Lepisosteus oculatus: one gene and its partner. The protein of the gene in region 2 purifies or fractionates together with the protein of the main gene of each other region. This does not show direct contact. Links are inferred from orthologs where the notes say so. Each region holds a gene or a part of one and is shown on either strand. Other genes may lie near its edges.

Region 1 (7,747 bases), on a different chromosome or scaffold from region 2:
CTTGTAAAGCTTCTTAGATGCTGAACTCTAGATTAAAAGAGCTGAGAGGGACCCGTGAGCCCTGGGTGTGTCTATCTGTTCTTGGGCACCAGCACCTGGTTCCTCTGCACGGTAGGGACCCTTACTTTGGCTCCGCAGAGGCTGCCCGGCGCAGGCCCATGATGAAGCGGCCGTGGTGGAAAGCTCTCCCGCACTGGATCACGTTCTCCTCCATGGGGTAGGGAATTTCGACCTCGGACCGGCTCTCGATGTCGTGGATGACGTAGCCGTTCACGGTGTGGGCGTCGACCCCTTCGACGCAGCCTGTGGAGCAACAAAGTGGCATCGGGAAAGGCAGCGGGCAGCCTTTTAAACAGACTTCTACAACACAGCAGCAAGGTCCTAACAATATAATAATATCCTTACACTTATATAGCGCTTTTCTGGACACTCCACTCAAAGGGCTTTACAGGTCATGGGGACTCCCCTCCACCACCACCAGTGTGCAGCCCCCACCTGAATGATGCGACGGCAGCCATAGTGCGCCAGAACGCTCACCACACATCAGCTATCAGTGGGGAGGAGAGCAGAGTGATGAAGCCAATTCATAGAGGGGGGTTGTTAGGAGGCCATGACTGGTAAAGGCCAATGGGAAATTTGGCCAGGACATCGGGGTTACACCCCTACTCTTTTCAAGAAACACCCCGGGACTTTTAATGACCAGGGAGAGTCAGGACCTCGGTTTAACGTCTCATCTGAAGAATGGTGCCTTTTCTAATAGTATAGTGTCCCCGTCACTATGCTGGGGCACTGGGACCCACACAGACCACAGGGTGAGCACCCCCTTCTCTCTAACACCTCTTCCAGCAGCAGCTTTAGTTTTTCCCTGGAGGTTTCCCATGCTGGTACTGACCAGGCTTTTTTTAAGTTTTGTAGCAGTTACATTTAAATCTTTTTATTACTTATATATTAAGACAAAATGCTAAGTAACGCAATATAGTTTAGCAAGACTAAAAGCATATTTGAAACATCATCTCCAGAAATTATTTTGTTAAAACAATTAAGTTTTAAAACATTCTCCACACACGTAGTGCTCAATTAGAAGCAACTCCTACTGGCTCCTGTCCGCGTACCAGATGGAAAGACAAACAGTTACAGTGGGAACGCTTACCGTCCAGTCCCAGCTCCCTCAAGGCGCGGTACCCCCCGGGCTGCAGCAGCTCCCCGACAATCCTGTCCGGCTCCCGCAGGTCCCTCTCGATCACCGTCACCCGCCTGCCGTCCCTGGCGAGCACCGCCGCCAAGGCCGAGCCCAGCACCCCGGCCCCGACAACCACGACGTCCGGGTCCCGAGAGTCGGCGGCCGAGCCGCACTCGCTGTCCGGCCAGGTGGAGTCCGCGGGTCCGACGTGCCGCCGCCTCCTCCTCCCCTCTCCGGGACGCGCCCTCTGCTGGATTGATTGGCCGGACAGTTAAGGGGCGTCAGTGGAAAATAAGACCGGAGAAGCGTCTCAACAACGAAGAAAATAACACTTTTCCATCTTTCATTATCGACTTTTTCATTATCGCAGCTCCCCTGTATCGGCCATAAAGATGTGATTTTGCCTTTTTATACTGGCAAGCACATTTAACGTCACCCCAACCGTCATTTCAGCGTGGGGAAAAGTAGAAAAACCCAAGCCGAAGTCTGACAACTTGACAGAGGATTTCGAGCTGACCACGAATGCCTGACTATTGCTTACACACGCCTAAAGAAAATAAGAAAATATTTTAAAGAGAGATATTTGGCAACGCGTTTCTAATTTCAGCTTGCGCCTGGGCGACCTCATTAAAATCATTAACACCTCAAAAACGGACGGTTCGTGCTAAATGCAAAAGAGCTGAAATACTGTCGTATCGTGAGTAAATGGTATTAAAATGGTAATCAAATTTCCACGAAACCCCTGTGAAAGACGCTGTAGGACGCGAACATCGGAGAAGCCGAGCCGAGCTGTTTTTTTTTTTTTAAAGAACGCTTTTTTACTTATTATCCACCGTCACAGTCTTGGTCCTGCACTGAAGCTTAATTATTTTCTCGATATATGTGTATATCGATAGATTTCTCATATGTTATGTGAGCCGGCAGAAACCAGGTTTCTATTCTAAAGGCATCCTGAGATCTCCCAACTGTGCCAGAGCGGAAAACGATTGGAAAAAGCTCAATGATTCAATTCAGTCGAGATGTAATTAAAGCAGGACAAGGGGGTTCCTGGGGGAGAGCATCCCTGCTCGAGAAGAGGGGGACCCCCCACTCTGGAAGTGTGTGAAGTCTGAACACCGCAGGTCTTCCAAAAAAGTCCATCTTTTTAGAAACACGACGGACCGCATCTCGCATCACTGTGACCCTCCCTGGCCGGATCTGCTCCTGTCCGACCGGGAAACGTCTTTTGAAACTCGGAAAACCAGCGAACGGGAATCACAACGCGCGTTAAATACCCACCGCAAAGCAACCTGTTAACACAGCCGCGCGTCTGCTTTTCACAGCACCCGGCGGAGGGAGGTACTGTATAGCTTGCCAGGGCGGATGGAGATGCTCCCCCGACCGCAGACGGGTTTACCTTTTCGGCCCGGCTGCCGGAGTCCGTGTCCCGTCCGGAGAAGAAGCGGGCCAGCGGCAGGGACGCCGGGATGTCCAGACCCAGGCTGGGCAGCGCCTGCCCGCTGCGGTACCTGGCGTAGGACAGCAGGGAGGCGAGCAAGCAGCAGCCCAGGAAGACCAGCGCGACCTCCTTGTTGGCATAGTGCAGGACGGCGTCGCATTTCTTGTAAACGTAGGTGAAGCTGGCGATTCCCAGGAACGTCCACATCTCTCGTCAATCAAGGGATCGACAACTGAGCGACAACCAAAATAAACGTGCGCTCGGAATAAGTTTTTTTTTTTGTCAAAAGTGGGGTTAAACGCGTCCCCGAGAGAAACGCACTGAAGGCGGTTATGCTTTCAAGGTTTCAAAGGCAAGGAGTCCGGCCTGGGCAACCGATACCGAAATCTGAAATGTTTGTTTTTTTTTTCCTTTTAGTGAACGAATCTGCTCGTCATCGCCGAACAGACGCCGGATCAGCTGTTATTTTGGATCCAGGACACCAATGTGAGAAGAAATGAAGCCACGGAAATAATGGTTAAGATATTGCTCAGCTGTCTTCTAAATAATAAAAATAATGTTGTTCTTATAATAATGATATTAAAGAAATAATCCGTCCCCAAATGTCCTCCGATATTCAGTATTTATATCATTAGTACTAAAAAAAAAACAGACTTGAATAACCCAGCTCTTAAATAAATTGTAGTTCTTTCCCGAAGACCTTCACAGACAACTGTGCAACTGTAACATGAAAAGTGAGTTTATATTTTTTTTCTGATGGTGACCAGAATAGTTGCAACCTAGCCGGCGTGTCACTCTCGTGGGATGCTGAATATTTTATGGTAATAAGGAGTCTATGCTAATGAGCCGCGTGCCCGGACCGCGCTCTTCCCCGCCCCTTTCTTCATCGCAGTACCCAATCAGAGGCCGCAGAGCGGTGAGCAGAGCTCACGCTATCTGGCCATTGGCCAATCCGGTCCTGCCGGTGGCCGAGCTGACAGTCAGGTCTGCTCTAGTCTGATGTGACGTCATGGGGCAGGTGGGCCCGCGTCAGACGCCAGTGTCGTCCCCCTGTGCAGTACAGGCGGATCTGTCAGCCAAGGAGGGCTGGAAACACGGTTACAGCATCACCTCGCTTCCTAGAACCTGCCTGACAAAGTGTTCCATCAAGAAACATGTTTTTATTTGTGTGTTTAATTTTCTTAATACACCAGTACCATTATGTACCCGACAGGAATGTGCTGTGAACTATGCATTTAAAAGTATTCGTCAGGATATTTTCGTGGTGTGATAACGAGTTTATCATTCTGCCTTTATCAGATTCGTGTTCCTTGTGTATTTTGTACATACTTTTATTTATCTAGTCTCTCCGTGTGTGGATGGTTGCTATTGAATCATCTTTACTAGGATCAGAATATAATGCTTTTTTACAATATGTACTGCCTTACAACCGGTCCTGCAGTTAAGCCCAATTATTTTCTCAATTAAATATTCGTCGTGTTCTATGTCTGAAGTGAGATTTCAGGTTTCTCTATAAACATTGTACAGGTACTCTGAAACCCACTGTTTCAGAACAGAAAAGAGTTTGAAAAGAACTAATTCATCAACGATCAATTCAGCAGAACTGTAACAAAAACAGGGCAAGGCATTCCTGAGGCAGCAGATTTCTGGGGACACCTGAAAAACGAAGGGAAACATTCCACCCCCAAGCCTGGAAGTGTGTTAAGTCACAAAGAAGGTCTTCACTGTCAACGTACTCAGTCGATCTGCTGACCCATTGTTCAGCTTCTTCTCTAATCTAATCACACTTTAATTTAGAATACCACACATTGATTTTCGATCTTAACTGGAGTCCTTGTGGAGAGAACCTGAGAGTTGTTCACAAAAGAGAGCATGCCATTTGTTAGTAGCTAATTGATCCCAGAATTGATCCCCATCCTGTCACTTCTTGAAACACATTCCACCAACCTTAAGTATTAAGATGTGCCTAGGACACAACACTGTATTCAAACAAGACGATCAGTACTTTTAACAGGTCCCCTCAGAGGGCTCTCAGTTCAAGAGAAGTTCTAGTGCACTGTACAATTTTAACCTAACATCCCTTGATGCTTCTCAACACTGTTTGCCTCTATTGTTTCTCCACATTTAACACTGGTTTCCTTCTCGAATGGTGGAGAGAAAAGCATTAGTAAAAAGTAGAACATGCTCCCGCATAATGAATCAACATCAACATCATCTTTAATAATCTAACTACAGTATTCACTAAATGTTGAATAATTAAAGCAGACTATATGAAATTACAGGCAAATGCCAATGGATTAATTAACACATCTTGAATCTAATGTGGTTAATCTAATAAGAGCCCCGGGCATAAACACCTGACCCCATTATTCCCCACAACACAGAAAACCCTGACTAAAAAGTAAATATATTAAATTATACAATTTTAGTTTTTTGTTAAAGATCAGTAAGCATATAGTTCATATTTCCATGTGTATCTAGGGACACTTATAATGCATATAAAGCTTTATGTATAAATAGTTTATAACTTCTATTATGCAAAAAAGGTAATTAAATAAATTATGTAGCTCTACATGCCAGCTAATGGGGTCACAGCTTTATTTGCAGGCACTGAATCAAAATAGATTTTCAAATATATAAGACAGGCTTGTCTTTACAAGTAATGGTTAAAAATTGATTCGTATTTTTCTTGTTTCCCTGACGTGGTCTTTGGTTCTCCATTTTGCTTGATAAACTCCTATAAACAGAAAAGAAAACTTGAAAAACAAAAAAAAACATATACTGGTTTTTAAAAAAATAATATTTTTAGAATGCTACTGATTTGTGAATCATGCCTATCAACACAAGAAAAGATAAATAAAAGAGGAAAGAGCTAATATCCTGATGTGATCAAGAAGGTAAAAGTGAGTTTGCATTTTTTTTTGTAGGACGTGTGGGTATTTTTTCAAGAAAATCATCTGAGAGGCATACGTTCTTTACAGCACTACACGTTAGTGTTAATTAATACCACTCTGAGAGTGCAGCAATTAGAAGGGCAGTAAACATTTTAAACTTGTAACTCCAGACATTGGTATTGTAGCACTGGACAGAGGAGAAAAACTGCCCATTTCAGCCTTAGAATACTGCATTTTGTGTTAAAAAAACTGTTTTTAAACGTATACTTTAGCTTGCTTAGAGCTAGGTTTTTGAGTTGGACATTATATCTGGTGATGAAGTAAGAGGTTTTTGTTCTATGTTACAGAAAGTTTAATTTAAGGATAACTGATAAAGTTGACTGGGATTCATTTATGATAATTTCTCATCAGCTAAAATCCAATGCATGGCACATGAGGGCAAGGTGAAATTACTTAACTACTTCATTTTTCAAAGTGCCTCAATTATAAACTCACATTGTCGGCAGCCATATCACCCTGCAACTCACAACTGGCAACCCACTCAAGCTAAGCAGGTGTGAGCCTGGTCAGTACCTGGATAGGAGACCTCCTGGGAAAAACTAAGGCTGCTGCTGGAAGAGGTGTTCAGGGGACCAGTGGGAGCGCTCACTCTGCTGTCTGTGTTTGTCCTAATGCCCCAGTATAGTGACGGGGATTTTTTACTGTATAAAAGGCGCTGTCTTTCAGATTAGATGTAAAACCAAGTTCCTGTCTCTCTGTGGTCATTAAAAATCTCATGGTGTTTCTTAAAAAAAGATTAGGGGTGCAACCCTGTCATCCTGGCCAAATTTCCCATTGGCCTTTACCAATCACGGCTTCCTAATAATCCCAATCTATGAATTGGCTTCATCACTCTGTTCTCCTCCCCACCGATAGCTGATGTGTGGTGAGCGTTCTGGCGCACTATGGCTGCCGTCACAACATCCAGGTGGGGGCTGCACACTGGTGGTGGTGGAGGGGGGTCCCCATTACCTGTAAAGCGCTTTGAGTGGAGTGTCCAGAAGTGTAAGGAAGCGTAATCATTATAACCCTCAGATGCGGAGAACTCTGCTAAACCCGTTGCTGTTATTACCTCCAGTTCCACTAGCGTGGCTGTGCCTTCCTCCACCATACTGCCAATTCCACTGCTGAAGCTCAGGTAGCGTTGCTGGACAACAGATACAAAGCACACACTCAAATGTCACGGTTATGGAGAGTTATAGTACATAATGTGTTTCAAGGAACATAAAAACCTGTAACCAAGTTTGACCTGATCCGTCACTGAGCTGAGCTGTTTAGCTACGGTATTAGATCCCCTTTGTTCCAGAAACCATGTGCTTGTGGCTCCAGCGGGTCTCATCTCCTCCCTTCTGTGACCCACTTCCTGAACCGCTCTGTCCAGCTCTGAAACCTGCACTCATCCCCAACAGCAGCCCACTCCTCATATGATTTCTCAGATATTCAAAATAATTAAAAGAAATAAACATAACTTTCATCTCTGCCTTTACAAACAATAAAGATTGTCTTTTATAAAGGACTTTACCATGCATTACGTAACACACTGCATAGAGCAGAGTTTTGGGGCTCGTAGATCGTGCCACCATTGCACGTGCTTGTTTCAGGGTGCCAGTTGAATCCTAAAAAGTCTCGATATGACTCCTTCAAGTCTAGGCTACAACAGAACCCGGCTGTGGTGACCCACCGTGGGCTGGGCCTCCTGGGATTGGCAGGGCTCGAGTCTGCCAGGGCAAGCCCAGCGCGCTACCCAACCTTCCAAGCCGCAGTGAGGTTGCAGTGACACCTGGGAGAGACTCATCGGTCAACGAAGCCCAGCCCTGCTATCAGCATTGCAAGACTTGCAACGTTCTGAATAAGGGGGGTGGGATGGCTCAGTCCAGTGTATCTTTCGGAAGAAAGCGCAAATTGGTCTTCATCCCTTCCGTGCTGGTACTGTTCTGTCCAGGACTGGTGCTGGACCTCAGCACTGTGAAGCAGACTTGTGCCTCCCCATCTGGCTCAACGTAACAATCATACGAGCACAATTTCCCTCCGGGCAATGGGCGCACAGTACCTGCAGCATCTGAGCAATCACGCCCTCCTCGATGATCTGCACCGCGCTCCTCAGACCCCGAGCGAAGGTGTCCATGGCACCCACGTGTGCGATAAACAGATCCTCCAGGTCCGTAGACTCTCGCCGTACTTTGGCGTCGAAGTTCA
Region 2 (7,194 bases):
TAAGAAGCCATCTGGCACAATTAGCCTGTTAGGTAGAAGGTCCAGGTAGAAGAATGTAAGGAATTTGGCATCCTGCTGGAAAATCCTGTACTATTAACTCCTGCTTTTTAATCCTACACTCAGCTGTCTCATTCCGTATATGAGCGCGATCAGTGGCTTCCAGCAACAGTTAGCATTGTTTGTCCGCTCTGAGCGTTCTGGCAACGACTTTCACGTCTGAGCAGAACGTTCTGCAATCAAACTTTCCATCAAGCATTCACAGACAAGCAATGATTTCCTGGAAGTCTTAACTCGACTTACAAATCTTTTATTCTTTCAACAAACACAGACTGAGAGAAGGCTCAAAGCTGAAGGCTTTTGCAAGCCAACCCATTGGTGCTTGAAACCGTGGAATCAAGGCAGAATGGAAGCAGTGTACAGAGGAGATGCCCAGGGCGTCCACACACTCCATTTGTCTGCCCTCCTTCCCACAGGCTTCAGCTCAGCTTACCACCTCTGTGGCACTTTCACATGGGGCTTCAACAGGCCTGTTTTTAGGCAGTATGCCCAGTGTCGGTGTACACAAGCTACACAATTCACAGTCTGCAGTATGAATGATCCTTTTCAGAGATCTATTTAAGATCTTTCTGTCATGCTGTTGTGTTTATCAAAATAACCCATTTGCACCCCCCACACACATTACTGTTTCCACAGGATGAATGAGCTGGTGGTGAGATCTCTGCTGGTGACTGCAGTGTTTTGCTCTTCTTCACAACTGTGGACATCTCATACTTTATTTTTAACACAGAAGTCTGCCACTACTCATCTCTGGAAAACAAGCCAACAAAAACAAGGCAAGCTTTCCAGACAGTACAGTTCTGACTCCTGCCAGTTACTACGCAAACACAGCTTTACTGCAAACACGCTCATTTCATTTCCTCCAAACAAGCTCTGGAGTTAAGCCTCCAACTCAACACTTGGGGATCATCCAGTAATAACCTACAGTTTTCTAGGAGTTCTGCACACCAGCGGCATCAACATCAAGGGAAAGAAACACTCTGTACAATACACACACATGCATTAAATCTGCAATGGCCTAAGATTGATCCTAAATTTTTACAATCTGGTAAAACCTGGCTTGCATTCATTTATCACAATTCATGCATAATTACAATAGGGGGCTATGCAATTAGCTGACTTTAGTCTACTGTCAAAAGCTAGTGGGATGAAAGCAAGGACTTATTACTAAAACAGGACACACTGCAGAAACTCCCCTAGTTGCAATGAATAGTGAATAATGAACTGGCAGACTGACCGAGTCTTGCTCAGCAAGTACAATCTGGTGTCACAGACACCAGATCAACACTTTGTGTAATCTATTTTATATTAGTCTGCACTTTAATGCACTTTAACTACTATTAAAACAACTCTTTTTGTTAAATAAGTCTCTTCTATTTTGCTTCCCATCTTAAATTTATGCTCCTTTAACATTTTCAGTTATAAATCCATTTAAACGTTGACTCTAAAAATGAAATCGCAAAGCACTATAAACTTCAGAATTTGGACCAGCTATACAATCTAATGAAGAAAAGAGTCCAGCTGGCAGATAACACTGTTGTCGACCATCACAAATGCACATACACTAAAACTTGGAAGCTCAATACTATATAAGGCCTAAATCACCTTTTCACTTCATAAAACTCAGAAAGCATCCAAAACCAAACCAGCTTGAATCGTACATGTGCAGCCTTGTTTCACACGCAGAACGGCTAGTGAAGCAGCCTTGTTTCAAACACGGAGGCAGGACAAGAAGAGGGAGTGAAGTTTTTTATTGCCGATTCGCACTGCATTCTGGGGCCTGAACCCGACAGTCCCTCGAAGCTGCAAATTGCGAGGGGGGGGTCACAGGGCTCCATGGCGCTACAGCTCGCTTCCGACCGACACACAGTTGGCACGTCTCCTGTCTGCTCACGGTTCAGAGGAGTAAACACAGTCACCGGACAGTTCCTCCTTCTTTCAAGCTCCATGCGGCTCACAGCTACACCAGAACCATGGATCTGACCCAGTTCTCACCCTCCGGTACCAGCCGGCCCGGACTCGGCCCGGACAAGCAAAGGGTGAGACTGACGAGACCTGACCGGCAGCTGATTCGCTCAGCGAGAGCTGCTCGAACGCATCGATCACCCCAAAACAAGCACAAACCACAAACCACCCTTAAAGACTTGGATTTCTTTTGTGTGGAAACAAATATTACACTAGTTTAACCCGAAATACCTCTGGCCTGTGGACATTACGAGCCTGATGTCTTCGTACAATTTCGTACAGTCACCCTAAATCCCCCCCAAAAGCTAAAAATTCTGCGCATCAGATAAAATAAAGTGCGTCTCTTCATGGCCACTGAGCTGACTCGCGGGACGCTCGGCAGGTGACAAAACACCAATTTAAACTACAAAAGGCGTGAATCTAAATGCAAATATGAGTCGGCTGAACCCCGGAGGATTAGAGGTTACATAAGCATCGTTAGCGGGCAAGCGCAGGCTGAGTGCGGCCCGGAGCTCGCTAGCCTGTGCACACTGCTCAGGCGGGATCCTGCACATGAGCCTGCGGGAAGGTGAAACACGTCTCGCCAGGGGGTCCTGAGCGATGCGCCCACCGTGCCGCCCCGCACCGAGGACTGGCCCGGCCCGGCCCACCGCGACCCGGACCGCCGGCCCCCTGCGACTGTCCCGTTCCTGCTGTTGCGTTATACAGGGGCATGCTCCTGGCGTGTTACGCTACCTTCTTCGGCGGTGTCCATCTTGAGTGCGACGCGCTGCCCTCGGCTCCTCTTACAGCCGACACATCGACACCATCACCGAGCCTCGGCGGAAAACAAACATCAACCCGCTCCCCCCCCCTCCCCAGCAAAAAGGCACACAAGCGAACACAACCCACACTGCTTCTAAAACCCTGTTTTTGTCTGCGATCCCCCAGGGGAACTGGGGTACGAAGCTAATTCAGTCAGCCTAAAAAATAAATATCTGTATCCATCCCTCTCTCCATATCATTACGGAGAGTCTGCTGCACGACAGCTAGCGGGGTCTTTACGGCAGGAAGCGCTACGCAGGCGCACGACTTACGATCTCTGTTTGCGACTCCGCTCGGTTGCCATGGCAAAGGAAAACCGATGCTGTTGCAGATCCAGTATAACTACTAATACGACTTTATGTCCTGAAAGAGTCTTGGGTTTGGGAAAGTTACGGGTCCTGTTTCTGTTTTCCAAAATGTTCGGAATGATGGAAATTAATCACCTAAGGGCACAAATTCTGCCCTCCTTACTGTCCCCCAAGCCCGTCTACATTGTATGGGTGACAGGGCCTTCTCCTGTTATGCCCCCAAGCTCTGGAACTCTTTGCCCAAGGATATTAGAGAGTCACCTTCTCTAAACTCCTTCAAATCCAGACTCAAAACCTTCTTCTTCAGAAAAGCCTTTACTTAACTGGTTGCATTCTTCACCCCTCTGCTCTTCTTAATACCATCTTCCACGGTCTCCTCTATTGATGTATTGTTGTAATTATAATTGTGTCCTGTCTTGTGAAATTTTCTTATTTATTGTTGTAGTCTTCTTATTTATTGTTATTGTCATCCTGTAAAGCGCTTTGAGAAGCCACCTTTAAAGGCGCTATATAAAATAAAGTTTATCATTATTATTATTATTATTATTATTATTATTATTATTATTATTATTATTATTACCTGGTATGGTCGGTCGTACAATTATTGCAAACCTTTTTTTTGTCTGGTTGGAGTTTGGCGCTTATATTTATGTTAAGAGATGTCGAATTTGAAATATTTAAATGAATGTTTACTCCATGGGTTCAAATTTTATTGAATGTTCAAAACTATGTTAGGAAAGGAAAAAAAACAATTTTCGCAGTGGTCTTTAATCCGATTAGAAATGCAACAGGCGACATCTAGCGTCGAAGTATCCTTCATTTAGCATGAGGTTACAAACATAAAATAACAAAGGTTACAAACGAGGGGTCATTCGAGCACTCTAGCCTGTTTGATAATATCTTATTGATCCAGCTGTTGCTTGAAACGAAGCGGAGTGTCGTTTTCAATACCAGGGCTGGTTAGCCTGCTCCCCACTCCCCCCACTGTTTGTGTAAAGAAGTGCCTCCTGTTCGTTGTTTTAAACCCACATATATTTGATTTTCGAGATAGCAACGTACTGTCGGTTTATTTGGTAACTGGTACGGCACAATTCTGGAAATTGCGTGCTATGTAATATATGCAATTTCCCATATTCGACCTAAAATAATATGCCCCGCACTCGTTTATGAAAACTATTATGAAGAACAACTTAATATATTAAATGATCGGTTATTTTCTCACTCGAAAACCAGTTGTTGTTGTTGTTGTTGTTGTTGTTGTTGTTGTTGTTGAAAGCGCTGGATACACTGTACTTCTGCACTTCCTGGTTTTATTCCGGTTTCTTATCCCCTGAATTTTATAAAATAAATAGTAGGTGGGAGGATCGCGCACGCAGCTTGATGAAAATAAACTCGTAGGAAAAGGGCACCAATTTAAGCCTCGTCAATGACAGCGACACTAGGTTAGGGTTAATTCAGGTAGGGAGACTCAGCCGGCGCGGCGCCGTGGCTTAGTTGGTTAAAGCGCCTGTCTAGTAAACAGGAGATCCTGGGTTCGAATCCCAGCGGTGCCTCGATCAGTGTTGAATTTTATTGCTGTCTTGTCACACACCCGTCCTTTGAACAGTCACAAGAAAAAAGAACTACCGGTCTAAAAACCGCCCTATAGTTTCATCGTGGTTCACTATTTTTAAAATTCGTAGAACATAACTGTGAAAAACTGCACACACCTCGCTAAAAAGTCGTTATGCAAAGCGTGCATTTGCTTTACAATGTGGCCGTCAGAACATATCCCAAGCAAACTTTTTTAAAACTTGACACAGTCAGTATTTGAGTGTGCTGTCGAAACCCTGCCTGGCTTTGTGCCAGTATCAACACGGAGGGGTTAAAGCGAGTTTTTTTCCCTGATCAGTGCAGGAGCGTTTTTCTGCGGTGCTGCAGTCGGAGAGCTGAGATTCAACCCCCGTAATCTAGATCTACGAGTAGAAAGGACAAGGTAAACAATATCATATACCGTTTTAGAATTGAAATCGATATGCATATAGCATATCATTTTCGTCATTTCGTAGACCTTGGGTGCACGACAGCTCGACTTGCATGAAGTCTCGATCGGTTTTGAATGCTGAATGGGCCAGTTCGCGTTTTTGTAACTGCACGTTACTTACTCGAGATGACCATTTAGCCAAACGCGCTTTTAAATCGGTGCGTTTAACAATGAATAAAATATCCAGTCCGAGAGAAGTGTTATGTAACAGCAGTGGGGATGACTAGGCAATTTTCGTTTCCATTCACTAATAAGAGCTTTTTAAACGCTTTATGAGCGCGGATGAAGGCTTTATGCAAACAACATAATGGGGAGAAGTAGTGAGAGAACGTACTGTTTTGCATTCTTCGTGTACAATCCTTAAACGACTTTGTGCGGCATTAATCATAGGTGTAGGTCGTTTGAAGTCTATGACTGCTATAAAAATGCAATGCGTGTATGTTAATTGTCGATAAAGTAATGTCTTGGTTGTAAGAAACGTGTTATTCGGTTTGAAGCGTTTTAAGTTTAAACTACAGTACTATGTAAACTCCTTTTTCCATGGGGCGAAAGCATGAGGAAACACATTGTTTTAGAAAAGCTTTCCTTCTGGTAACATATCTTTTTAAAATACACGTAAGGAGCAAAATGCGGTTTAATTAAAACTGATAAATGAAATGTGTATATATTGAAGTCAGCAAAGCAGGGATTCGTGTTCGTTGCGTAATCTTTACTTGTGGGGCTGCCAGTTGTATGTACTATTTGGGAAATAGCGTGCTGGAGTCGCGTACCTGTCTAACAATGTTCTGTAAAAGGCTTATTTTGACGGGCGTTCGATAGCTGAAGAGGCAATGGTATTACACTTTAAAAAATCAATAGCCTCTGCTGCCTTTTAAGAACGTCGGAGCTTTCCAGTCAATCAGTGATTAACTACTGGGGCCATTGTTTCTCTTCATTTGATGGTTTGTGTGTTTTACTTAACAGATTATTAACTGAGACAGTGGTCGTGATTGCTGTGTACCGGAGTGTTGTAGCTGTTGCAGAAGAGGAGTTTCTTCAGCCTGGCCCTGCCTGTCTGTGTCTCCTCTCTGGAAAATGGAGCACAGAGCCTGGCAGTAACACAGGGTCACCTAAGAAAGTGCTGTGAAACTGAAACAGATAACAAAGAACCTGTACACAACGTGAACTACACAAAATAATGCATCTCAAAAAAATTCCAGCACAACAATTGTGTGTTAATATGCTATGAGGTTCCAAACAGGACAGTAAAACTACACAAGCTGATACTGTAGATACCCAGTGTGGCACAGACACGCCCACAGGGGGTGGAGCCAGAGGTACAGATCATGTCATGCTGGAGCTAAGGGCGAGATTCCCGGTCTCTGTGGGAGGGGAGCCCCGTGGGGGGCTGTGTGACAGCCCCAGGGGTCCAGGTGAATAAAATATTCACCAGATAGGCTGGAAGGTGCCCTCTTGTCTGGAGCCCATCTCGTGTTCTCTCACCCGAATCTTTCCTTGTGCTCTAGATGGCCAACGAAGCCCGACCCTGCCCCTGTGACCTTGGAGACAAGCTGGAATACGGGGGTCAGGGGGAGGAGGTCCAGGTCGAGCACCTCAGAGCCTACGTCTCCAAGCCCGGCTCCAGCACGGACAAGGCCGTCATCGTCATCCAGGACATTTATGGGTGGCAGCTTCCGAACACCAGATACATGGCCGACATGCTTGCCTCTAGTGGATACATGTGAATATCTAACTTTGTTTCAAGAGGTTTTAAAGAAAAACCTGACGTTGCACTAACCTACAAGCACATAGCTTTGTACTGCTTGGTTTGTAGCGGCTGTGTAATGTCATGTCTAGGTTGAGCTGTGCTCACTGACACCCTGCTCCCTGCAAGGAGGAGGATGTACAGTGGTTGACATGCATCATAAATCCTGTGATCTCCCCTATTGGCACTGAATGTTCCTATGCAACTGTAGTCAGAAGTCAAATGAGTGTCTTTAAGCCTGAGAAACCCAGCACCTGTAACTTAAATGGTCCTGTTGCTGCAGTTTGTAGTGA

What was found. The genes of interacting proteins can lie anywhere in the genome.
Region 1: the proteins of marchf6 (region 2) and sqlea purify together in Homo sapiens (affinity purification with western blotting; 4 studies listed by BioGRID and IntAct, with this or other methods). This does not show direct contact. The link is inferred for Lepisosteus oculatus from reciprocal best matches to the Homo sapiens genes MARCHF6 and SQLE.

Annotation. Positions count from the first base shown.
Region 1 is NC_090705.1:10,582,373-10,590,119, forward strand, and holds the start of sqlea (squalene monooxygenase), read right to left. Parts: upstream 3,043-7,747; 5' UTR 2,826-3,042; coding exon 2,577-2,825; intron 1,431-2,576; coding exon 1,151-1,430; intron 304-1,150; coding exon 126-303; intron 1-125. Other genes in the region: uncharacterized protein, read right to left, coding at 5,272-5,355, 6,624-6,698, 7,602-7,747. UniProt on the Homo sapiens protein: Catalyzes the stereospecific oxidation of squalene to (S)-2,3-epoxysqualene, and is considered to be a rate-limiting enzyme in steroid biosynthesis.
Region 2 is NC_090701.1:718,704-725,897, reverse strand, and holds the start of marchf6 (E3 ubiquitin-protein ligase MARCHF6), read right to left. Parts: upstream 3,074-7,194; 5' UTR 2,777-3,073; coding exon 2,758-2,776; intron 1-2,757. Other genes in the region: cmbl (carboxymethylenebutenolidase homolog), read left to right, coding at 6,096-6,098, 6,663-6,877. UniProt on the Homo sapiens protein: Endoplasmic reticulum membrane-associated E3 ubiquitin ligase that plays a critical role in mitigating endoplasmic reticulum stress, the regulation of cholesterol and lipid homeostasis, and ferroptosis.